Macaca fascicularis: one gene and its partners. The protein of the gene in region 1 purifies or fractionates together with the protein of each later gene. This does not show direct contact. Links are inferred from orthologs where the notes say so. Each region holds a gene or a part of one and is shown on either strand. Other genes may lie near its edges.

Region 1 (3,594 bases):
CATTCTTGATGGTATATTCCGTATTGGCACGTTATCTTAACTCCCCAGTCTTTTCCCTCTGTACACGAGCTATTGAATTAATCAGTGTGCTCTCATCAGGCCAGTTCAGGAAAAACACACTTCCTTTTTTGATAGTCTCGCCCCTTGGAGTGACTCTTCTTCCTGGAGGCACTTTTTAGAAACAGTATCAATGGAAAAAAGTAAACAGATGGCTTCTTTTGCCTGAAAAACAGTAGTAAGTGGGTTATGATATCTTTGTTTTTTAATCATGTCTTTATTTTTTAGCATGGGGCTTCACATGTTTCCTATTCTGAGTTATCCCAGATCCATAATAATTGCTATATATTATAAGCCCTTATTTGCCAAAAGGTACTAGTACTATGTGCTAGTACTCTCCATTTCGTTGGTTTTTTATTCTCAGGGTCTGTCATCCGTTTTTCCTGACTTTTCTTGCTACCATAGTCTTTATCTTGCTTTTATTCAGAGTTGACCGCTTTGTATTTGGTATGTTCCAACTGCCATTTTTTTCTTCTCACCCTTGATCCAAATTTGATTTCTAATATTATATAAGATAAATAAGAATGCCAAACTTACTGCTTTTTGACTAATTAGAACATGGAAATAATTTGAGTTTTAGAGAATAATAAAGTTTTTTTCTTCCATTTACAAAAGTGAGAAAACTTTGGAAAAAAAAAAAAGACTAGAAAAGAGAAAATAATCATGCCATAGTCTAGCACCTGAAGAAACCCCCCTTGCTCTGTTCCTCCATCTTCCCCCCGTGCATGTGTGTTTGTATGTTTTGAGCTTGTAATCACATTGTGATAATGCTGTGATGATTCCCATACATCTTTAGTAGACTTGGTTGGAAATGCATTGTGTGGGGCAGGTGCAGTGGCTCACACCTGTAATCCCAACACTTTGGGAGGCCAAGGCACCAGACTGCTTGAGCTCAGGAGTTTGAGACCAGCCTGGGCATTATGGGGAAATCCTGTCTCTACAAAAATACAAAAATTAGCTGGGCGCGGTAGCACACACCTGTAGTCCCAGCTATTCAGGAGGGTGAGCCAGAAGGATCGGGCGCACCTTGGAGGTCGAGGCTGCAGTGAGCTGTGATAGTGCCACTGCACTCAGCCTGGGCAACCAAGTGAGACTCTGTCTCAAAAAAAAAGAAAAAAAATGCATCATGTGATTTTAAATAGATCTTTATAGGTGTTAGGTGTTCAAAAGTATTTGTTAAATGAAATGATTGAATCCTTACTCCTCTCTGTGCCTCAGTTTTCCCATTTCTTAAACGGGGAAATAATAATTTACAAGATGTTTTGTGAGGATCAGTGAAAAACAAACTAAATGTTGGAAGTGGCTAGGTCATGTCAAAACTCTACTTGCTGGCTATCATATCGCTTTTTTCCCAGAGGCTACTACTTGAGAAGAGGCAGAGGAAAAAGCGCCTTGAGCCGTTTATGGTGCAGCCCAATCCAGAAGCCAGGCTACGGCGGGCGAAGCCAAGGGCCAGTGACGAGCAGACTCCCTTGGTGAACTGTCATACTCCCCACAGCAATGTCATCTTACATGGTGTGTATTTAGGCAGCATCACTTCCTGCTGGGGTACAGTTTTCACAAACCTAGCAGGCAGGAGGATTCTCAGACGGACCAAAGGGACAATATTATTAGCACCATTACTAGGTACCTTCACAAATCTTTATAAACACATTTGGGGTCTTTGAGGAGAATAAAAGCAATATAATCAGTGCAAGATGCCTTAAGGTTTGTGTCCATTTTAGAACTGTTGTTTTCTTTTCTTTTTTCTTTTTTTTGAGATGGAGTTTTGCTTTCATTGCCCAGGCTGGAGTGCAAAGGCAAGATCTTGGCTCACTGCCAACCTCCTTCTCCTGGGTTCAAGTGATTCTCCTGCCTCAACCTCCTGAGTAGCTGGGTTTACAGGCGCCTGCCACCACGCCCGGCTAATTTTTTTGTATTTTTAGTAGAGACGGGGTTTTACCATGTTGGCCAGGCTTGTCTAGAACTCCTGACCCAGGTGATCCACCTGCCTCGGCCTCCCAAAGTGCTGGGATCACAGTCTTGAGCCACCGTGCCCGGCAAGAACTGTTGTTTTCTAGATGCCAGATGAATAGTTTAGAATGACCTATTTGAGGAGTTTTTGATTGTTAAATCATGGCAGAGGTGAATCATGAAGCCAAGAATAGGTAGAGAGCATCCATTCTTCCAATAGATAGTTCAAAGGACCATCTGAGATGGTAAGGGGTGGAGGAAGAATAAGATTGTAAGTTCCTCTAAATCAAGCCACCTGAGCTATTGGCTTGGACAGGATCTGTACTATGGAGGACCTACTTTGTTTTCTTGGTCTCATTCTTAAGTTTCTGAAGTACATATAACTTCAGTTACTAAAGTACAAGTACATATTACTTTAGTAACAGAGCATGTTAATAAAATGAACACCAGGCTGGGCATGGTGGCTTATGCCTCTGATCCCAGCACTTTGGGAGACCAGGCAGGTGGATCGCTTAAGGCCAGGTGTTTGAAACTAGCCTGGGCAACATAACAAAATTCCATCTCTACGAAAAAATTAAAAATTAGCCAGGCGTAGTAGCACACACCTGTAGTCCCAGCTACTTGGGGGACTGAAGTGGGAGGATCATTTGAGCCTAGGAAGTCGAGGCTACAGTGAGCTGTGATTACACCACTGCTCTCCAGCCTGGGCGACAGAGTGAGATCCTGTCTCAGAGAAAAAACACCAGTTCTGACCTACTCTCTTAACACATGTTCTTATGGATGTTAAGAAAGGAGGGGAGATAAAGTGATTCGGTAGTTCTTAATTCTGATCACATATGCCAAATCCACCCAACTAAATAGTGAATAATACTTTGCTCCTTTTTTAAAATTCATTTTATTTTGTCCCCTAGGTATTGATGGTCCAGCTGCTGTCCTGAAACCAGATGAGGTTCGCACTCCGTCAGTAAGCTCCCCTGCTTTGGAAGAAGATGAAAACAGCGTGGGCACGGCTTCCAAGCCAGGACTTCAGGAGAGTCTCCAGAAGCATGGTGAGGACTGGCAAAGATTTTAAGGCAATTTGTCTTCTTACTCATTTGTCATCTTTTCCTTTCTTTTCATTGTGGTTAACAATCCACATGACTCCAAATTACTCACGGCTTAGGGCCTCACGGGGGTGACAGTATTAAGCATCTTTTACATCTGAATGTTGGTAATTGTCAGCAATGGTAGTATTTATACTATTGCCTGAGAAAAAGAAGATAATTAAATCTAAACTACTAGCTACCATAGATGACTGTTTCTCTCTTTTTGACTATTTTCGGTTCCCACCGTCTCCTTCTGACAGAGTTGTCACTCAGCCCTCTACTCCACCTCCGTTTCATAGTTGGTGATGATTGATAGCCTTTCTTCTAGTTGGAGCTCTCATTTCCATAAATATTCCCATACATTTCAAAGGTCCCTTGTAGTCTTTCCTTTTTACAAAAATAATTTTATAATGAGAAGGGATTAAGCATCCCCTTTTCAGATGAGAAAACTGAAGCCCAATAATGAATATCTATTGGGTACCTTCTTTGCATTAGGCAA
Region 2 (4,227 bases), on another chromosome or scaffold:
ATGAAACAACAAAATCAGAGATGTACTGAAAATGAAAGTACACTCCAGTGTGGGCGCAGGCCCAGCACAGGGCTCAAGGGCCCTGTTACAGAATTCCTGGAGGTTTAAATACCCTCTAGAGGATTCACTGGTTACTTGGTGTATACCCTATGTAAACGAAGAGAATGAATTAAAGTTACAAACTCATTTACTCGGCATACACCCTATGGAGAGGGTATTTCTTGTTATAGCTAAAGTGTGAATCGGCCTTATGTTCCCTGCCTCCAGACCCTATTTTCCTGCCTCAAATCTCTAATACTTGATTTTGATGATTTAACTGTTGATCAATGCAAATATAAAAGACTTTTGTAAAGCATAGGCTATACTGTATGTTAATTCAAGGAATGTCAGGGCATGTACTAATGCTGAATTCTGAGAATCACGTGCTTTTGTACAGAACAAAGTCTGTTTCTTGAAATATTTTGAGTTAAATACTCCCTAAAACTCCTTAATAAAGGCAATTACAGAATCTGTTAATTGATATGTGGAATGGCAGTGAAAGAGACTGTATTAGACGACTTGAAAACACTCATATTTGGAGCTTAATGAAAATATTCCTGCTCCCCAGAGATGAAATGTTAGTGAGAGTAGCAAATAATCTATTTTTATATGCCCGATTTGCATATTTGAGGCCATCTATTAACACCGTTCTTTAGGACCTCAACCTAGTCGTCTAAGACATCCTTATTAAACAAGGCCAATACGTACCATTTAACATTGAAAATAGTTAATGCCCTTCAAAATCTTTCAAAAGAATAAAAATTAAAAACTAAGTTCTTTGTAAAATTTTGCGGTTTAAAATAATTTTAAAAATTTTAAAAATTTTTTGGTTTCAAATTAGTGGGTGCCTCATTTATCATAAATTATAAAAGAGAATCTAACAATTATTGGCTACATTCTAGGCACGGGGTAACGCTTTATTGTTCTTCTAACCAAAAAAATACATGTATCTAAGTATCCTATGTAACGTATCATTCAATCACACAAAACCCTATGAAATACTGGCAGGGCCCGGTGGCTCACGCCTGTAATCCCAGCACTTTGAGAGGCAGAGGCAGGAGGATAATTTGAGCCCTCAGGAGTTCAAGACCAGCCTGGACAACAATAGTGAGACATCGTCACTTCACCATCATATCCAGAATTAATTTCTACTGTTAGGGCAGTCAGCGAAAGGAAAGCTCGCGATATTACACAAACTACTACTCCCAACATGCAAAGCGGTTTCTTTCCCTCTGTCCCCGCCCGGCCGTCCGAGAGCCCCAGCAGGCCTCGGGGCGCGAAAGGCAACCTGGAAGCGGTAGTTCTCCTGGGCGCCTAGCGGGATCGCCAGCGCGGCAGTGGGGCCTTCCGCGGCTCCAAGCCAGCGGGTCCTGTGAGGGCGAGCGGAGGCGGAGAAAGGGCGCGGGAGTGAGAGAGGGTGAGTCAGCCACTGTCTACGCAATAAAGGGAGACCTCACCGCGGGCTAAGGCTGAATTCAGAAGTGCGGCCCGTGCCGCAGTCTGTTCCAGGACGCGGCTTGTCTTAGCGTCAGCGAGGGAAGGTTGAGGAGGAGCCAGAGCCGGGTCCGGCAGCCTTTCTCGCTATCAGCGCCCGTCGCCATCTCCACCATGCAGTCCCGGGAAGACGCCCCGCGCTCTCGCCGCCTCGCCAGCCCCCGCGGTGGGAGGCGGCCCAAGAGGATTTCCAAGCCCTCGGTTTCGGCCTTTTTCACGGGTCCAGAGGAATTAAAGGACACGGCCCATTCTGCAGCCCTGCTGGCACAGCTCAAGTCTTTCTACGACGCGCGGCTGCTGTGTGATGTGACCATCGAGGTGGTGACGCCTGGCAGCGGGCCTGGCACGGGTCGCCTCTTTTCCTGCAATCGCAACGTGCTAGCAGCTGCGTGTCCCTACTTCAAGAGCATGTTCACAGGTGGCATGTACGAGAGCCAGCAGGCCAGCGTGACCATGCACGATGTGGACGCCGAGTCCTTCGAGGTGTTGGTCGACTACTGCTACACGGGTCGTGTCTCTCTCAGCGAGGCCAATGTGCAGCGCCTGTACGCAGCCTCCGACATGCTGCAACTGGAGTATGTGCGGGAAGCCTGTGCCTCCTTCTTAGCCCGACGTCTTGACCTGACCAACTGCACCGCCATCCTCAAGTTTGCAGACGCCTTCGACCATCACAAGCTTCGATCTCAGGCCCAGTCCTATATAGCTCAGAACTTCAAGCAGCTCAGCCGAATGGGTTCAATTCGGGAAGAGACTCTAGCAGATCTGACCCTGGCCCAGCTGCTGGCTGTCCTGCGCTTGGATAGTCTGGACATAGAGAGTGAGCGGACTGTATGCCATGTAGCTGTGCAGTGGCTGGAGGCTGCTCCCAAGGAGCGGGGTCCCAGTGCTGCGGAAGTCTTCAAGTGCGTGCGCTGGATGCACTTCACTGAAGAAGATCAGGACTACTTAGAAGGGCTGCTGACCAAGCCCATCGTGAAGAAGTACTGCCTGGACGTTATTGAAGGGGCCCTGCAGATGCGCTATGGTGACCTGTTGTACAAGTCTCTGGTGCCAGTGCCAAACAGCAGCAGCAGCAGCAGTAGCAGCAGCAACTCTCTTGTATCTGCAGCAGAAAATCCACCCCAGAGACTGGGTATGTGTGCCAAGGAGATGGTGATCTTCTTTGGACACCCGAGAGATCCCTTTCTCTGCTATGACCCTTACTCAGGGGACATTTACACAATGCCATCACCTTTGACCAGCTTTGCTCACACTAAGACTGTTACCTCCTCAGCTGTCTGTGTCTCCCCAGACCATGACATCTATCTAGCTGCCCAGCCAAGGAAAGACCTCTGGGTGTATAAACCAGCTCAGAATAGTTGGCAGCAACTTGCAGATCGCTTGCTGTGTCGTGAGGGCATGGATGTGGCATATCTCAATGGCTACATCTACATTTTGGGGGGGCGAGACCCTACTACTGGAGTTAAGTTGAAGGAAGTGGAATGCTACAGTGTTCAGAGAAACCAGTGGGCATTGGTGGCTCCTGTCCCTCATTCCTTCTATTCCTTTGAACTCATAGTGGTTCAGAACTATCTTTATGCTGTCAACAGTAAGCGCATGCTCTGCTATGATCCTAGCCACAATATGTGGCTGAACTGTGCTTCTCTTAAACGCAGTGACTTTCAGGAAGCATGTGTCTTCAATGATGAAATCTATTGTATCTGTGACATCCCAGTCATGAAGGTCTACAACCCAGCTAGGGGAGAATGGAGGCGGATTAGTAATATTCCTTTGGATTCAGAGACCCACAACTACCAGATTGTCAATCATGACCGAAAGTTGCTTCTCATCACTTCTACAACCCCACAATGGAAAAAGAACCGAGTAACAGTGTATGAGTATGATACTAGGGAAGATCAGTGGATTAATATAGGTACTATGTTAGGCCTTTTGCAGTTTGACTCTGGCTTTATTTGCCTTTGTGCCCGTGTTTATCCTTCCTGCCTTGAACCTGGTCAGAGTTTTATTACTGAGGAAGATGATGCACGGAGTGAGTCTAGTACTGAATGGGACTTAGATGGATTCAGTGAGCTGGACTCTGAGTCAGGAAGTTCAAGTTCTTTTTCAGATGATGAAGTCTGGGTGCAAGTAGCACCTCAGCGAAATGCACAGGATCAGCAGGGTTCTTTGTAAATAGATTTTGAGACACTAAGATGTTTCTACTGCTACGGAATGTATTTTAAACACATATCCTTTCTTTTTCTTGAAAAAAAAAAAGTTGACCAGGACCACAGATTTGGTTTAGAAAGGGTAATATTTTGAAATACTACAAGGTTTAAACAGTCCACAAAATCGACCTGTTTAATAATATACCTTCCTGAAAGTCCAAAATTAAAATATGGAAGCAAGAACTATGTAATTGACTGGGATGCTTGGTAGGTTTTTTTCATTGTTCAAATATTCATTGCACAGTGGATTGTTTTGATTAGTTAGTATGCTTTTTTTTTTTTTAATTAATTCAGTCTTCTGTTAATTTTTAAGTTTTGGTTAGTGCCACAAGGAATTTAACTTTTTAATCTGTACAATAGAAAACTGGACTAGGAATTGTTGGTGGAGTTTTGAAGGATGTATACTTTCCTTCAAAATAAAGTGGTAGATTTTCAAAATTTTACACTAGTCAGTTCTTTATATTCTAAGTTAAATATAGTTTGTAAA
Region 3 (3,565 bases), on another chromosome or scaffold:
TCCCTAGTCCCTGGAGGCCTCCCCAGGGCCACCCCCGCCGGCAGCAAGGAAGGTGGCCCGGCAGCGGTCTGGAGCAGCGGAGCCAGGCTTTGTAGCGAGGTCAGGTCGGCGGCAGCATCCGGTTCGGAGAGTGCAGATGCAGGAAGGCCCGGCCTGCCGCTATTTATAGTGCAGCAAGTCTGCTAAAAATACACTGGGCCTGGGCACTGCCCGCCGGGACATGGCAGCCTGGACGTGGGGCTGTGGCCAGGGCCGTGGGCGTTGCTGGTGGGGGTGACTCCTCCAGTGAGGGCAGAACCAGGCCGGCAGGAGGGGAGGACGGTGTGCCTGCTGCTCAGAGCCCGCAAGGCACTCCTGTGAGCGCCACCAAGCAGGACAGAGCAGCTCTTGTCCCAGGTTCCTCGGGCTGAGCGCCGTGTCACCAGGAGAATCGTGCTCGCGGCCCAGGCAGGGCGTGTGGCTCCTGGATGGGCTTGTGGGGCGGGTGGACAGGACACGGGCTCCCAGAAAATAAACTACTTTATTGGAATTGCAGGAGTGTTGGTGGCCGGTGGGCAGAGCCTAGTGGGGGGTGCAGCCACCAGGGCCCGGGTGTCCCAGCTGTTGCTCAGGAGCCGTGGGTCTTGCAGGAGTGTGGGGGGATGTGATGTGTGGGGGCAGGTGCCCCAGCCCTCCAGCTGTAGCTTCCTAACCGAGGTTCTACAAGTTTCTCAGGCTTTACAGTGTGTAGTTGGGAGAATATGATGGAAGGGTGAACCCGACTCCCTTTAAAGGAACGAATCCACAAATCTACGGAGCTGCCGGCACCCGGAGGCAGCAAGGTGCAGATGGGGCACAGCCTCTGCCGGCCCGGGCCGCTGCGCTCCCGCCCAGCTCTGTTGCGTCTTCCATCACAGACGTGTTTTTTCCCAGTGAAAAGCTGGCTTTGCTGCAGCTGACTGGAAGATTCCAGAAGGTGCCTTCCTGCAGCAGCACGCTGGTCCTGGGGCCCAGGCCCGTCAGGGGTCGTCGTCTGCCTCTTCCACCACCTCCTCGTCCGGCTCCCTGGGGTCCTCCATGCTGTTGTGGCGGACCCGCTCGGGCACCGTGCGTGGCAGCGGGAGACCCAGCCCCTGGTGCACGGCGTCCACAGCCCGCGGGCTCACGTAGTAGGACATGTTGGCCAAGGGAAGCCGCCGCCGCATCTCCTCCAGGAATCTGTAGGCCTGGGGCAGAGGAGCAGATGTTACTCAGCTTTCCTCAACAACCGGGCACGACTCTCTGCCCGCAGGCCAGGCACATGCTGCTGCCCCTGGAGGCGGGTGGGGTGCCTCCCTGCTAGAGGACACGGTGCACTGAGGCTTCCCAGTGGTGATGGGGGGATGCGGTGCCCGCGGACCGCACATGTGCCATGTGTGGATGGTTAACAGGAAGCTTCGGTTGGCCTTTCAGCTGGAAATGCAGAGCCAGGGCCCTGGAAAGTCCCCAGCAGCTGTGCACAGAGGCCTGCCCCCCCTGTGTGCGCGGGCAGAGCCTCCCGGGGCGGCAGAGGCCCTGTGCTTTGCACTCAAGTCTTGGGAGTGGACATGCATGTCAGACTGGAGGGCAGGCAGCAATATCTAGTGGTTTGTCTTGGGTATTATTATTTTTTTGAGATGAAGCCTCAGCTATTAAGATAGAATAAGCTTGTTGAATGGCCCCTCCCATCACCCGCAGTGGACCTGTATTTAAGGAAGGCCTCAGCTGGGGTGGGCGCTGGTGGAGTGCAAGCCTTCCACGCAGTCTCGAATCAGAGGGTGAGGGCAAACATCTACAACTGAAAAGATGCTGCCTCAGATGTTGACAAACCACTCTGCCATGTGCCGGGCACTGTGCTGGGGACACAGGGGACACAGGACATAAGGACACGGGAGAACAAGCTTGGCTAATGCTGTAGCGGGGAGTCCAGGTCAGGCTGAGGTCCTGCAGTGGCAGAATTCAGAGAAGGGTCGGCACAGGGAGAGAGGGAGAGGAAGGAGCTGGCCAGGGTCGAAGAGGGACCCTGTGGTCAGAAAGGGCCAGTGTCCTCCTGATGCAACCAGGGCCTAGCGTGTGTGACTGCTCTGTGCGCAGAGCTAGCTTTGGAGAGGGCAACGAAGTGGTTTCCAGAAGGCAGGCAGAGGGTGCAGAGGGCAGGTGAGGGGTGATGGGGGGCAGGACGGGTGGTGTAGGTGGGTGAGGGGCAGTGGGCGGGACGGGTGGCGTAGGTGGGTGAGGGGCGGTGGCGGGGCAGGACGGGTGGCGTAGGTGGGTGAGGGGCGGTGGCGGGGCAGGACGGGTGGCGTAGCTGGGTGAGGGGCGGTGGCGGGGCAGGACGGGTGGCGTAGGTGGGTGAGGGGCGGTGGCGGGGCAGGACGGGTGGCGTAGGTGGGTGAGGGGCGGTGGGGGGCAGGACGGGTGGCGTAGCTGGGTGAGGGGCGGTGGCGGGGCAGGACGGGTGGCGTAGCTGGGTGAGGGGCGGTGGCGGGGCAGGACGGGTGGCGTAGGTGGGTGAGGGGCGGTGGCGGGGCAGGACGGGTGGCGTAGGTGGGTGAGGGGCGGTGGGGGGCAGGACGGGTGGCGTAGCTGGGTGAGGGGCGGTGGCGGGGCAGGACGGGTGGCGTAGCTGGGTGAGGGGCGGTGGCGGGGCAGGACGGGTGGCGTAGCTGGGTGAGGGGCGGTGGCGGGGCAGGACGGGTGGCGTAGGTGGGTGAGGGGCAGTGGGCGGGACGGGTGGCATAGGTGGGTGAGGGGCGGTGGCGGGGCAGGACGGGTGGCGTAGCTGGGTGAGGGGCGGTGGGCGGGACGGGTGGCGTAGCTGGGTGAGGGGCAGTGGGCGGGACGGGTGGCATAGGTGGGTGAGGGGCGGTGGGGGGCGGGACGGGTGGCGTAGGTGGGTGTGGGGCAGTGGGCGGGACGGGTGGCATAGGTGGGTGTGGGGCAGTGGGCGGGACGGGTGGCGTAGGTGGGTGAGGGGTGGTGGGGGGCAGGACGGGTGGCGTAGGTGGGTGAGGGGCGGTGGGGGGCAGGACGGGTGGCGTAGCTGGGTGAGGGGCGGTGGCGGGGCAGGACGGGTGGCGTAGCTGGGTGAGGGGCGGTGGCGGGGCAGGACGGGTGGCGTAGGTGGGTGAGGGGCGGTGGCGGGGCAGGACGGGTGGCGTAGGTGGGTGAGGGGCGGTGGGGGGCAGGACGGGTGGCGTAGCTGGGTGAGGGGCGGTGGCGGGGCAGGACGGGTGGCGTAGCTGGGTGAGGGGCGGTGGCGGGGCAGGACGGGTGGCGTAGCTGGGTGAGGGGCGGTGGCGGGGCAGGACGGGTGGCGTAGGTGGGTGAGGGGCAGTGGGCGGGACGGGTGGCATAGGTGGGTGAGGGGCGGTGGCGGGGCAGGACGGGTGGCGTAGCTGGGTGAGGGGCGGTGGGCGGGACGGGTGGCGTAGCTGGGTGAGGGGCAGTGGGCGGGACGGGTGGCATAGGTGGGTGAGGGGCGGTGGGGGGCGGGACGGGTGGCGTAGGTGGGTGTGGGGCAGTGGGCGGGACGGGTGGCATAGGTGGGTGAGGGGCGGTGGGGGGC
Region 4 (3,594 bases), on another chromosome or scaffold:
CAGTGGGGGAGGGGAAACACATTGGTGGAAGATGTGGGGCAAAAATAGGAATTCCTGACAGAGGCTCTCCTGCAACAGAGCTTTCTAGCACCATAAGCCACAGGGGTGCTTCTCTCATCCTTTTCTTTTTCTCTGGCCCCAAGCGTTAGCGTCATTCCACACTCACCCTGCACATTCTCACCAAGTATCAGCAGCCCTGACCCCTCATCTGCCTGCTTCTCTCCTCCCCACTGCCTCACTTTTTAGCCTCCTTATCTCACCCCTGGATGACTGCAGTGGCTTCATGGCCTTGCCCCTGCTGACTCTCGAGGCTCACCCCATCCTAAATGCACCCCTCAATGTGTCACTGACCCTGCTGGTCCTTGCCTAGTCTGAGGCCTTCCGCCCATCATTGCCCTCTTAGCACAGACAGGGCCCCTTTCCTTTAGCAGATCATTCTCTTTCTTTCTGCCTGATTCCTGACTCACTCAGCTTTCAGGTCTTACCACAACTTGGTGAAGTTGGTCCCCCAAGAATGGCCAGTAAGAGATAGACTGGGGATTTGAACCATATCAAGTGGTCTAGGGCAAAGTCAAAAGCAGAGCATAGAGTAGGTGAGGCAGGTGAGGCCATGGAGCCAGGCAGCAGCTGTTGAAGAGAAAAAAGAGAGGGATCTCCAGTGGCATCAGCCAGGAAAGTCTACAAGGATCCCACAGTGATCCTGGGCCATAATCAAGGAGTTATTTGGGGGAACAAACCATGAATTGGGGCTAATCAATGACTATGAGAAGAGTAAAATATGTCATTTGTTTCAGATTCATGTTAAAAATGGAGATCACATGAAAGGGGCTCGCATGCTTATTCGGGTGGCCAACAACATCAGCAAATTTCCATCACGTAAGTACCACTTACCACGCCGCATGCCCCATGCCCCACGCTGGCACAGCACCCCTTGTGCAGGCTCCCCAGGCCGCATGCCCCATGCCCCACGCTGGCATGGCACCCCTTGTGCATGGCACCCCTTGTGCAGGCCCTTGTCACTAACTCGTTTAATTATCACAGCAGCTCCGTGAAGTGGCATGTCAGGGCCCCAAGACCACTCCCAGGTTTGATGATTCTTCACTGGGAGGATTTACAAGAGTCAACACACGGTAGTACCAAAGCTGAGATTTACCACAGCAAAAGCATCTGAGGCAAAATGAGCAGAAGGATTCGCCCAAAGGCGAGCAGGTGCAGGCACGGACCTCCAAGAGTCCCTTCACAGTGGAGCACACAGGACGCAAGTTCAGTAACTCCTCCAAGACTGACTTGTACAACATGGTGAAACGTAGAGTGCCAAGAAGCTCATTAGAGACTTAGCAGCCAGGAGTTTTATTGGGGTGTGGTCGCATAGGCACCCCCTGCCTGGCATGTACCCAGTTTTCCAGGCTCCCAAAGAGCAGGTGTTCAGCATAAACCACATTGTTTGTACAAAGATTTTAGGCACGGTGAGCCACTCATCAGTTCTGGAAATGGTGGGAACCGTCTCCAAATCTATGTTCCAGATGCGAGCCAAGGGTTAGCTGTTCAAGCCTTTCCAAGGATGACAGTCTCAGGCCTGCACACACAAGTACTTTTCTGCACAAACTGGGACAAAAGAAAAGAAATAACATTTGCCCGAGATCACATTGTCAGCTAATAATAGTCTGACTCTGTGTTCACAAGCACAGTAGGGTGTTGCCTCTGAAAAGGCCCCACTATTCTTAAAGCCATGTCATGATAGCATTCTTAAATAATTAAATCCTGTCACATTGTGACAGGGATCAGCAAACTTTTTCTGTAAAGGGCCAGATGTAAAATATTTTAGACTTCGTGAGACATATGGTCTGTGTCACAACTGCTCAACTCTGCCATCTTCTCATGAATAATACATAAACCAATGGGCATGACTGTGTTTCAGTAGAGCTTTATTTTTGGACACGAATGTTAACCACATACACTTTTAACATGTCACAAAAATACTTTTGATGTTTTTTCAACCATTTAAAAATGTAAAAATCATACTTTGCTCATGGGCCATATAAAAAGTCAGAGGGCTAGATTTGGTCCATGGGTCATAATTGGCCAACCCATATTCTCTTAAGTGTATTTTTGTCGTCATCGTTACATGAAAGTCTACCATGCGGGCAAAGTGTTGGATAGGACAAGCACTCTCATGACTGCTGGTGGGAATGGAGATTGGTATGGCCTTTCCAGAAAGCAGTTTGGCAATTTGTGGTAAGAGTATTTTTTAAAAGGTCCTGTTTTTGAGCCAGTAATTCTGGGTGTCTGTCCTGAAGAAAGAATTTGATGCCTGCAGAGAGATTAGTGCATAAAGTCATTAATCCCCCTTATGCTTTTATCAGCAGTCCTGTCAGATGCAAAAAAATGTATCTAAGAGGTGTGAAAGGAAACTCACCAAAGTGTTGCCTCAAAGGATGCAGGTCCCAGCGTTACAAGGCAGAACATGGTGTAATCAAAGGAAAAGCAATTGATGGGCAGTTAGCCTGACCCCACGGCTACGTACTTTCCTCATTAAACAGATCATATCTGGTTCTTTGCAGAAAAAGCAAAGTTCAGAGGCTATGACCCTGTTTTCCTACAGAACCAGGGTGGAGTCCCGCCTGTATCACTGAGGACAGGAGACACTGTGCCCTTACTGCTCTCCCATTTTCTCTTGCAGACATTGTACCAATCCTGACGTCAACTGTGATTGAGTGCCACAGGGCAGGCCTGAAGAACTCTGCTTTCAGCTTCGCAGCTATGTTGATGAGGCCTGAATACCGCAGCAAAATAGATGCCAAATACAAAAAGAAGATCGAGGGAATGGTCAGGTAGGCAGAGACAGCTATTTCGCTATCTAATCACATTTCTCAAAGGCATTTCCCAAAATGTAGCTGCCAATGTGCGGGTTCAATAAGAAAACAGCAGGGGGCCAGGTATAGTGGCTCACGCCTATAATCCCAACACTTTGGGAGGCTGAGGTGGACGAGTCACTTGAGGTCAGGAGTTCAAGACCAGCCTGGCCAATATGATGAAACCCCATCTCTACTAAAAATACAAAAATTGGCTGGGCCTAGTAGCGCACACCTGTAGTCCCAGCTACTCAGGAGGCTGGGGCAGGAGAATCACTTGAACCTTGGAGGCGGAGGTTGCAGTGAGCCGAGATTGTGCTGTTGCACTCCAGCCTGGGCAACAGAGTGAGACTCCATGTCAAAAAAAAAAAAAAGGCGGGCATAGCAATTAGGATTGTATTCAGCTCCAAGCAGCAGAAAACCTAACAGCAGCTTGACCAAGTCAGTATTTATTTGACTCATATGCAAGGCATCACAGTCCAGGGCTGGTGTCACTGTGCCTTGATGCCACCAGACCCAGATGCCCCTGTCTTCCAGCTTTGCCATCCATAGCATAGAGGTTTCCTCCTCATGGTGGCAAGACATCTGCCACACCCCCAGACATCACGTCTTCGTTCCAGGCAGGAAGAAGTAGGGAAATGAGAAGTCAGGGGGATCTTCTCCTTTTTGCTCAGGAAGGTACCATCCTCAGGACCTTCAATTTTCACCTCCGTGGCCAGTACTCTGCCTCACAGGACTTAAG
Region 5 (2,973 bases), on another chromosome or scaffold:
ACACTTACAAATTTGCAAAGATATAATAAATGGCAGAACTAAGATTTGAACCCAGGACTAAGTGTATTGCTTGTATTTAATTACTTTTTAAGAGACAGGCCATCACTGTGTTGCCTAGGCTGGCCCTTGAACTCCTGGGCTCAAGCAGTCCACCCGCCTCATCCTCCTGAGTAGCTGGAACTGCAGGCACATCATGGCCTCCCAGTTGTTTTTAAACACTAATGGTAGTCTTTCATAAGGACACTTATAAAAGGCAGAGCTGGTACCCACACTTCATTCCAGACTGCTCAGACTTAGAAAACTGAAAGTAACGTTTTCATCATTATATTTCAGGTAATCAGTATCTGTTTTTGCCACCAAATCGTTACATTTTCCATGGCGCTGAGGTATATTCAGACTCTGAAGATGACGTCTTATCCTCTAGTTCTTGTGGCAGTAACAGTGATAGTGGGACATGCCAGAGTCCAAGTTTAGAAGAACCCATGGAGGATGAAAGTGAAATTGAAGAATTCTACAATGGCTTAGAAGATGAGCCTGATATTCCAGAGAGAGCTGGAGGAGCTGGATTTGGGACTGATGGAGATGATCAAGAGGCAATTAATGAAGCTATATCTATGAAACAGGAAGTAACAGACATGAACTATCCATCAAACAAATCATAGTGTAATAATTGTGCAGGTACAGGAATTGTTCCACCAGCATTAGGAACTTTAGCATGTCAAAATGAATGTTTACTTGTGAACTCGATAGAGCAAGGAAACCAGAAAGGTAATATTTATAGATTGGTAAAATAGATTGTTTTTCATGGATAATTTTTAACTTCATTATTTCTGTACTTGTACAAATTCAACACTAACTTTTTTTTTTTTAAAAAAAAGGTACTAAGTATCTTTAATCAGCTGTTGGTCAAGACTAACTTTCTTTTAAAGATTCATTTGTATGATAAATTCATATGTATATATAATTTTTGTTTTTGTCTAGTGAGTTTCAACATTTTTAAAGTTTTCAAAAAGCCATCGGAATGTTAAATTAATGTAAAGGGAACAGCTTATCTAGACCAAAGAATGGTATTTTCACTTTTCTTTGTAACATTGAATGGTTTGAAGTACTCAAAATCTGTTAACTCTAAACTTTTGATTCTTTAACACAATTACTTATTTTTAAACACTGGCATTTTCCAAAACTTGTGGCAGCTAACTTTTTAAAATCTCAAATGACATGCAATGTGAGTAGAAGGAAGTCGACAATAGGTGGGAGGGCACTCGGTTGTCTTTACTTTTAAAAGTAATACTTGGTGCTAAGAATTTCAGGATTATTGTATTTATGTTCAAATGAAGATGGCTTTTGTACTTCCTGTGGACATGTAGTAATGTCTATATTGGCTCATAAAACTAACCTGAAAAACAAATAAATGCTTTGGAAATGTTTCAGTTGCTTTAGAAACAATAGTGCCTGCCTGGATCCCCTTAGTTTTGAAATATTTGCCATTGTTGTTTAAATACCTATCACTGTGGTAGAGCTTGCATTGATCTTTTCCACAAGTATTAAACTGCCAAAATGTGAATATGCAAAGCCTTTCCGAATCTATAATAATGGTACTTCTACTGGGGAGAGTGTAATATTTTGGACTGCTGTTTTCCATTAATGAGGAGAGCAACAGGCCCCTGATTACAGTTCCAAAGTAATAAGATGTTAATTATAACTCAGCCAGAAAGTACATGTCTCCTTCCATTGGGAGGATTTGGTGTTAAATACCAAACTGCTAGCCTAGTATTATGGAGATGAACATGATGTAACTTGTAATAGCAGAATAGTTAATGAATGAAACTAGTTCTTATAATTTATCTTTATTTAAAAGCTTAGCCTGCCTTAAAACTAGAGATCAACTTTCTCAGCTGCAAAAGCTTCTAGTCTTTCAAGAAGTTCATACTTTATGAAATTGCACCGTAAGCATTTATTTTTCAGACCATTTTTGAACATTACTCCCAAATTAATAAAGTATTCCTCTGTTGCTTTAGTATTTATTACAATAAAAAGGGTTTGAAATATAGCTGTTCTTTATGCATAAAATACCCAGCTAGGACCATTACTGCCAGAGAAAAAAAATCGTATCTGAATGGCCATTTCCCTACTTAAAAGATGTCTGAATCTGAATTTATTTGGCTACACTAAAGAATGCAGTATATTTAGTTTTCCATTTGCATGATGTGTTTGTGCTATAGATAATATTTTAAATTGAAAAGTTTGTTTTAAATTATTTTTACAGTGAAGACTGTTTTCAGCTCTTTTTATATTGTACATAGTCTTTTATGTAATCTACTGGCATATGTTTTGTAGACTGTTTAATGACTGGATATCTTCCTTCAACTTTTGAAATACAAAACCAGTGTTTTTTTACTTGTACACTGTTTTAAAGTCTATTAAAACTGTCATTTGACTTTTTTTCTGTTAACTTACATTGTTTAAGGTATATAATTTTTAAATCTTGCAGAATTTGTACAGCTTCGAATGCTATAGTATTAGATGCTTTCTTTCTCATACTACATTTCTTCATTCAGTTTATTACATTAGTCTCACCAGACCAGTACTTGCAAACACTGATGGTGCTGATCATAGCAGGCGATGCATCACCACCAAGCATTTCAGAACTATTTCAACCATTTTAGGCTAGAGGCCTGAGCAAGTAAAATGTGGGGAAAAGGCAGGGCAGGGCCTAAGAAGGATGTGACAATGTCCTATGATAAAGGACCAGAAGTTTGGGATTCGAGAGAGAACAGGAAGTGGTGGATAGTGAAAATCCATGTGATACAAAGGCTGGGTTAACTGAAAATCTGTTCTTGGATGCCAGGTCTTTTAAGTCCAAAGACTACAGACGACATTTGGTATCAACTTTTTGAGGCTGACCTGAGAACCTACTTATTTTGAGGGAGAAAGTACTCTTGAAGAGGCCAGCAGTGTTCCCCTTAAAATGTA
Region 6 (4,290 bases), on another chromosome or scaffold:
TACCTGTGGTCCCAGCTACTAAGCAGGCTGGGGGCAGGAGTATTGCCTGAGCCCGGCAGGTCAAGGCTTCAGGGAGCTATGATTGTGCCACTGAACTCCAGCCTGGGTGACAGAGTGACACCCTATCTCAAAAAAACAAAAAACTAAACTAAACTAAAACTTCATTAATGTTCCAGTGTGTCTTCTATGATGAAAACATAATTTAAAAATTAAAAAAAGAAAAATTTCAGTAAAGTGTATCCTAATCACTAAACCACAGATTGTAAAAGCTGGATGGGTCTAGAGAGATCATTTAACCCAAGTTATTTTCTACAAATAGGGAAACTATGCAAGAACTAGAATTAGAATCAAGGTTTTCTGATGTAAGTTGGGGTAAAATAATTTTGCGGAGCTGGGCAGATCTTATGAAATGATACTGTTTACAATTTTAGAGATAAAGATACTGAAGCCTGGTGAAATCAGCACAAACTATTAAAGAGACTGGGGCTCAAATCCCAGCTCCGCCAGCTGTTAAGTTTAGCAGCAAGTTACTTAACATCTCAAAGTCCCTGTAAAATACTTTCTGTAAAAAGAAGGTGATGCCTCTTTCAAAGTAGTTCTTAGGATTCAATTTCGAAAAAAGTAGGTAAATCTTAACCTCCTATCATACATGTACTCAAATAACTTCCTAGGATCCTCCAACTCAAGGGGACCTCTTGCACAAAACCTCCTGGCTCCCCCTCAAGTCTCCCTGGTCATCTTGGATGAGGAAGTCGGGCGCACCCCAGGACTGATCCCACAGGAAAAGCACCTGAGCTCCAGCCCCTAGTAACTAAACCCGTGGGCTTCGAGGTCTCTGCCGACCCTCTGTCCAAGGTTAGAAAGGCCCACACACCGTCCACTCTCCCGATTCCGTTTTACAGGCGGTGAAACTGAGGCCCAAAAGGGAACAGTAATTTACCGGAGGTCACTCGGCGGATCTGGGACTAGGCGCTCACTAGAGGTGACGGTGGGGGCAGCTCCGCGGTCCCCCAGGTTCAGACTCTCCGACCCAGTCGTGCCCATCGAGCAGGCTCCGGCTGCAGCAACGAGCCCAGCGCTGCGAAGCCCTGGGTGTGGGGCGGAGTAAGATGTGAAACCTCAGCTCACGGAACCGGGCTGCAACCGAGGTCTGAATGTTGCGAAAGTGGCCCAGACGCCGCCGCTGCTTTTCGGCCGCCCCTGCTTTTCGGCCGCCCCCTCGGCTACAGCCGCCATTTCCACGCTCCACCAATCAAATCCATTGTCGAGGAAGGCGCACCGCCCCCACAAACCCCAACCAATCGCGCGCGCTCTGGTTGCGCAGATGCCTTAGGGGCTCCAGTTCCACCCTAGCTTTTGCTGCTTTTCTCGCTTTGCCTTTCGGACATGCGCACTCGGAGGAAGGCGACCTCGCGCTCAGCTTACCGCGCATGTACGTTGCCAGGGGCAACGCAGGTAGCCAAAGTGGCTTGTGGCGTGGCTACCGTTAGTGAGGCGGTTGCTGAGACAGACGCTGAGGCGGAGAGGAGGAGCCCGAGGCGTAAGGGAAGCCGCGATGAGGGCCGTGTTGACGTGGAGAGATAAAGCCGAGCACTGGTGAGAAGCCGGGCGGTCCGCGAAAAGCGGGAGGTCGAGTCCCAGCGGGGACTGCGCGAGCCGCTGCAGCGTGTTTGAGGGTGGCAGCGAGCTTGCTGCCTGGGCCGAGGGCACTGAACCCCGGCCTGGGAGACTGCAGGGTCACCCTCCCGCCCCTTGGCGGTTGGCGAAACTCCTGAGGGTTGGAGAGCGGCAAAGGGAGGTGCCGCGCCTGGAGGTAGTGCCGGTGGAGGCGGCTCTTCCCTCACGGTCTGGCCTTGTCGCTGCCTTGGGTTCGTCTCACACCCACGACACAGCACGAAGCTGCTCAAGCTTCGCAGTTCTTGCCACTTCCACATAGTACCCGTACTCTTGTTTACTTGACGTTTTTCTCTAAATTGTCTCATTTATTTTAATTATGATTTCACATTTTACAAGGAAACTTTATTACTCCATTTATGAAAACCAGTGTCACTTGCTCTAAGTGTTAAGATAAAATCAGCGTCACTTGCTCTAAGTGTAAAAGTAAAACTTAAAGTAGGGAGAAACAAAACTGAACAGGCTGTAGCTAGCTGTTGTTGCTAGGGAGCCTTTAAACCTGGTATCTCGTTTCTCTAAAATTGGAGATTGGCAGGTATGATCAGAGAGGTGCTCAAAATGAGCATCAAACACAAGCTCTCCTAATTGGGAAGTTTGAAAAAGAATTGAAGGTGAATAACTTTGTCACCTTTTGATTCAGTTATTTAATGTCCTATTCCATTGTTATTGGCTAAATCTATAATATAGTCTGTTTTGTCATACACTTATTTATGGGATAGGTCTCGGCCTGACTTTGAAAATCATTCAACATTGTTGTGAAGCCTCTGTTCTGGCCACTGGAGCAGGTTACTTGTCTTTGGTTCAGTCCTTTCTGAGATCTTTCTCTGTGTGAAGCATGCCCTCTCTCCTCATCTCACACGGAAATCCTGCACATCCTTCAAGGCTCACGTTGGAGACGGGTCCTCTCTTTTGTGTTCAGCACTAGTGGTAGCTGACATTATGTGCCAGGTCTCGCTAAGCACTTCTTATCCTTCATCTCGTTGTCTCTGTTCACCACTTTCTGAGGTAGGTACTATAATTTCCTCTATTTTATGTATGAGGAAACTGAAGCACAGAGAGGGTGGGTAATTTGCCAAGGTAACACAGTGAGGGGTGGAGCCAGCTTTCAAGCCCAGGTCTTCCTCACTCCAACGTCAATGCTCTCAGCCCCTACATTAATTTTTCCTTATATTACAGAGGTGGCAAACTCAAATGTCTGCAGGAGATAGACAGGTAACATAAATGGGAGATGTCTATTTGCATCTTAAACACTAGGAATTGTATGTTTTCCTTAGGAATAGTCTTGTATTCTATACCCCATTTTTCTTGAAACACACAGCCCTATCAGTGAATCTTTCATTTGTACTTTTAATAGAGATTTGAGTTTTAAAAAATCATTTTATTTTTAACTTTATTATAAACGTACCTATATCACAAGCTGATGATAGGCAACTGAACATTTGGCTTCAATGTCAGAGAGTAACAGAGTGTGGCAAGGAGTGTGGCAAACTGCAGAACTCATGCTTGTCCTAAAAGGGGCAGCTGCTGCTCAGCTCCTGCCAATTACCACCATGCAGGAATTTGGCCTAGTGTGCTCAGCTCTTCCTGTTTTCACCAGAAGCTAGGAATCTGGGTTTTTATGTGAAATGGCCTAATTTTTAAATGTTAGCATCTACTCTGAAAAAAAACAAAACAAAACACTGTGTGGGCCAAATAAAACATTTGCTGGCCAAATGCAGCCCGATTTGCTCTGTTTTCAACCCCTGGCACAGAATTTCGTTCATTTCTCTCTTGTGGTACTTCCAAAGTCTGTTGAGTGTAAGAGTTAATTTTTTAAATCTGTTTATTTCGGAAGTCATAAACCCGTTAAAGGCAGTGGCTATGTCTTACTCGTTTCCAAATTATTCTAGAGCCTAGTCAGGTCAGTGGTTGTTGTTACTATGGGTAGTAATAAAATACTAGATATATATAAAATGAAATGCTGCGGATAGATGTATTCATACATGAATGAATAAGTGAGTGAATGAATGATAAATAAAGATTGGTTGTCTGGTTTTTGGCCCATTACAGATTTGAAACAACCTATTAGGATAAGGGATGTAGGGTTCTATAGACCATCATACCACCAGCTGATGGCCCAGAATGAAAACAAAACAAAAAACTAAAAAAAAAAAAAAAAAGGTAGTAGAACTAAAAAAATCCTAGATGTCAAAGATTAGTCCTCCACATCCAAATCAGCCGTCGTCTCCCAGTCTGCTCCTTTGCTTCTATTTTAACCTTCACATAGCAGCAGGAACTCTCTTTTTTTTAAGACCTGCTGCTGTGATCCTGTTACTCTACTTCTCATAAACCTAGAGTGATTCCCAATTACTTTCCATGTCAAAATTGTGCATTTTGCTAGAGGGTCCTCCTGACCCTCCTCCCCACTAGGCTTGCAGCATTTAAATTTATACTTTTAGGTTGAGCAGAAAACTCTATCCTTCCCAAATGCTCCCTTATTCTATGAACTCCCTAGTTTTCTCCCTTAAATGCACAGCTCCAGGTTCATCTCAACCAGGATGCCTTATTAGGCTATTCCAGTCAGGCTAGCATCTGCTATAACTCTCCATTCATGCCAGCTAGTATTTACTAAGTACT

What was found.
Region 2: the proteins of TULP3 (region 1) and KBTBD7 purify together in Homo sapiens (affinity purification with mass spectrometry; 3 studies listed by BioGRID and IntAct, counting the BioPlex papers as one, with this or other methods). This does not show direct contact. The link is inferred for Macaca fascicularis from reciprocal best matches to the Homo sapiens genes TULP3 and KBTBD7.
Region 3: the proteins of TULP3 (region 1) and IFT140 purify together in Homo sapiens (affinity purification with mass spectrometry; 5 studies listed by BioGRID and IntAct, counting the BioPlex papers as one, with this or other methods). This does not show direct contact. The link is inferred for Macaca fascicularis from reciprocal best matches to the Homo sapiens genes TULP3 and IFT140.
Region 4: the proteins of TULP3 (region 1) and WDR19 purify together in Homo sapiens (affinity purification with mass spectrometry; 5 studies listed by BioGRID and IntAct, counting the BioPlex papers as one, with this or other methods). This does not show direct contact. The link is inferred for Macaca fascicularis from reciprocal best matches to the Homo sapiens genes TULP3 and WDR19.
Region 5: the proteins of TULP3 (region 1) and SIRT1 purify together in Homo sapiens (affinity purification with mass spectrometry; 5 studies listed by BioGRID and IntAct, counting the BioPlex papers as one, with this or other methods). This does not show direct contact. The link is inferred for Macaca fascicularis from reciprocal best matches to the Homo sapiens genes TULP3 and SIRT1.
Region 6: the proteins of TULP3 (region 1) and IFT122 purify together in Homo sapiens (co-immunoprecipitation; 6 studies listed by BioGRID and IntAct, counting the BioPlex papers as one, with this or other methods). This does not show direct contact. The link is inferred for Macaca fascicularis from reciprocal best matches to the Homo sapiens genes TULP3 and IFT122.

Annotation. Positions count from the first base shown.
Region 1 is NC_088385.1:3,800,688-3,804,281, forward strand, and holds part of TULP3 (tubby-related protein 3), read left to right. Parts: intron 1-1,412; coding exon 1,413-1,572; intron 1,573-2,921; coding exon 2,922-3,059; intron 3,060-3,594. UniProt on the Homo sapiens protein: Negative regulator of the Shh signaling transduction pathway: recruited to primary cilia via association with the IFT complex A (IFT-A) and is required for recruitment of G protein-coupled receptor GPR161 to cilia, a promoter of PKA-dependent basal repression machinery in Shh signaling.
Region 2 is NC_088391.1:20,547,910-20,552,136, reverse strand, and holds the start of KBTBD7 (kelch repeat and BTB domain-containing protein 7), read left to right. Parts: upstream 1-1,335; 5' UTR 1,336-1,647; coding exon 1,648-3,705; 3' UTR 3,706-4,227. UniProt on the Homo sapiens protein: As part of the CUL3(KBTBD6/7) E3 ubiquitin ligase complex functions as a substrate adapter for the RAC1 guanine exchange factor (GEF) TIAM1, mediating its 'Lys-48' ubiquitination and proteasomal degradation.
Region 3 is NC_088394.1:2,271,633-2,275,197, forward strand, and holds the end of IFT140 (intraflagellar transport protein 140 homolog), read right to left. Parts: intron 1,206-3,565; coding exon 999-1,205; 3' UTR 502-998; downstream 1-501. UniProt on the Homo sapiens protein: Component of the IFT complex A (IFT-A), a complex required for retrograde ciliary transport and entry into cilia of G protein-coupled receptors (GPCRs).
Region 4 is NC_088379.1:38,553,486-38,557,079, forward strand, and holds part of WDR19 (WD repeat-containing protein 19), read left to right. Parts: intron 1-794; coding exon 795-876; intron 877-2,680; coding exon 2,681-2,831; intron 2,832-3,594. UniProt on the Homo sapiens protein: As component of the IFT complex A (IFT-A), a complex required for retrograde ciliary transport and entry into cilia of G protein-coupled receptors (GPCRs), it is involved in cilia function and/or assembly.
Region 5 is NC_088383.1:78,647,436-78,650,408, reverse strand, and holds the end of SIRT1 (NAD-dependent protein deacetylase sirtuin-1), read left to right. Parts: intron 1-333; coding exon 334-662; 3' UTR 663-2,452; downstream 2,453-2,973. UniProt on the Homo sapiens protein: NAD-dependent protein deacetylase that links transcriptional regulation directly to intracellular energetics and participates in the coordination of several separated cellular functions such as cell cycle, response to DNA damage, metabolism, apoptosis and autophagy.
Region 6 is NC_088376.1:153,970,211-153,974,500, reverse strand, and holds the start of IFT122 (intraflagellar transport protein 122 homolog), read left to right. Parts: upstream 1-1,436; 5' UTR 1,437-1,555; coding exon 1,556-1,596; intron 1,597-4,290. Other genes in the region: MBD4 (methyl-CpG-binding domain protein 4), read right to left, coding at 941-1,044. UniProt on the Homo sapiens protein: As a component of the IFT complex A (IFT-A), a complex required for retrograde ciliary transport and entry into cilia of G protein-coupled receptors (GPCRs), it is required in ciliogenesis and ciliary protein trafficking.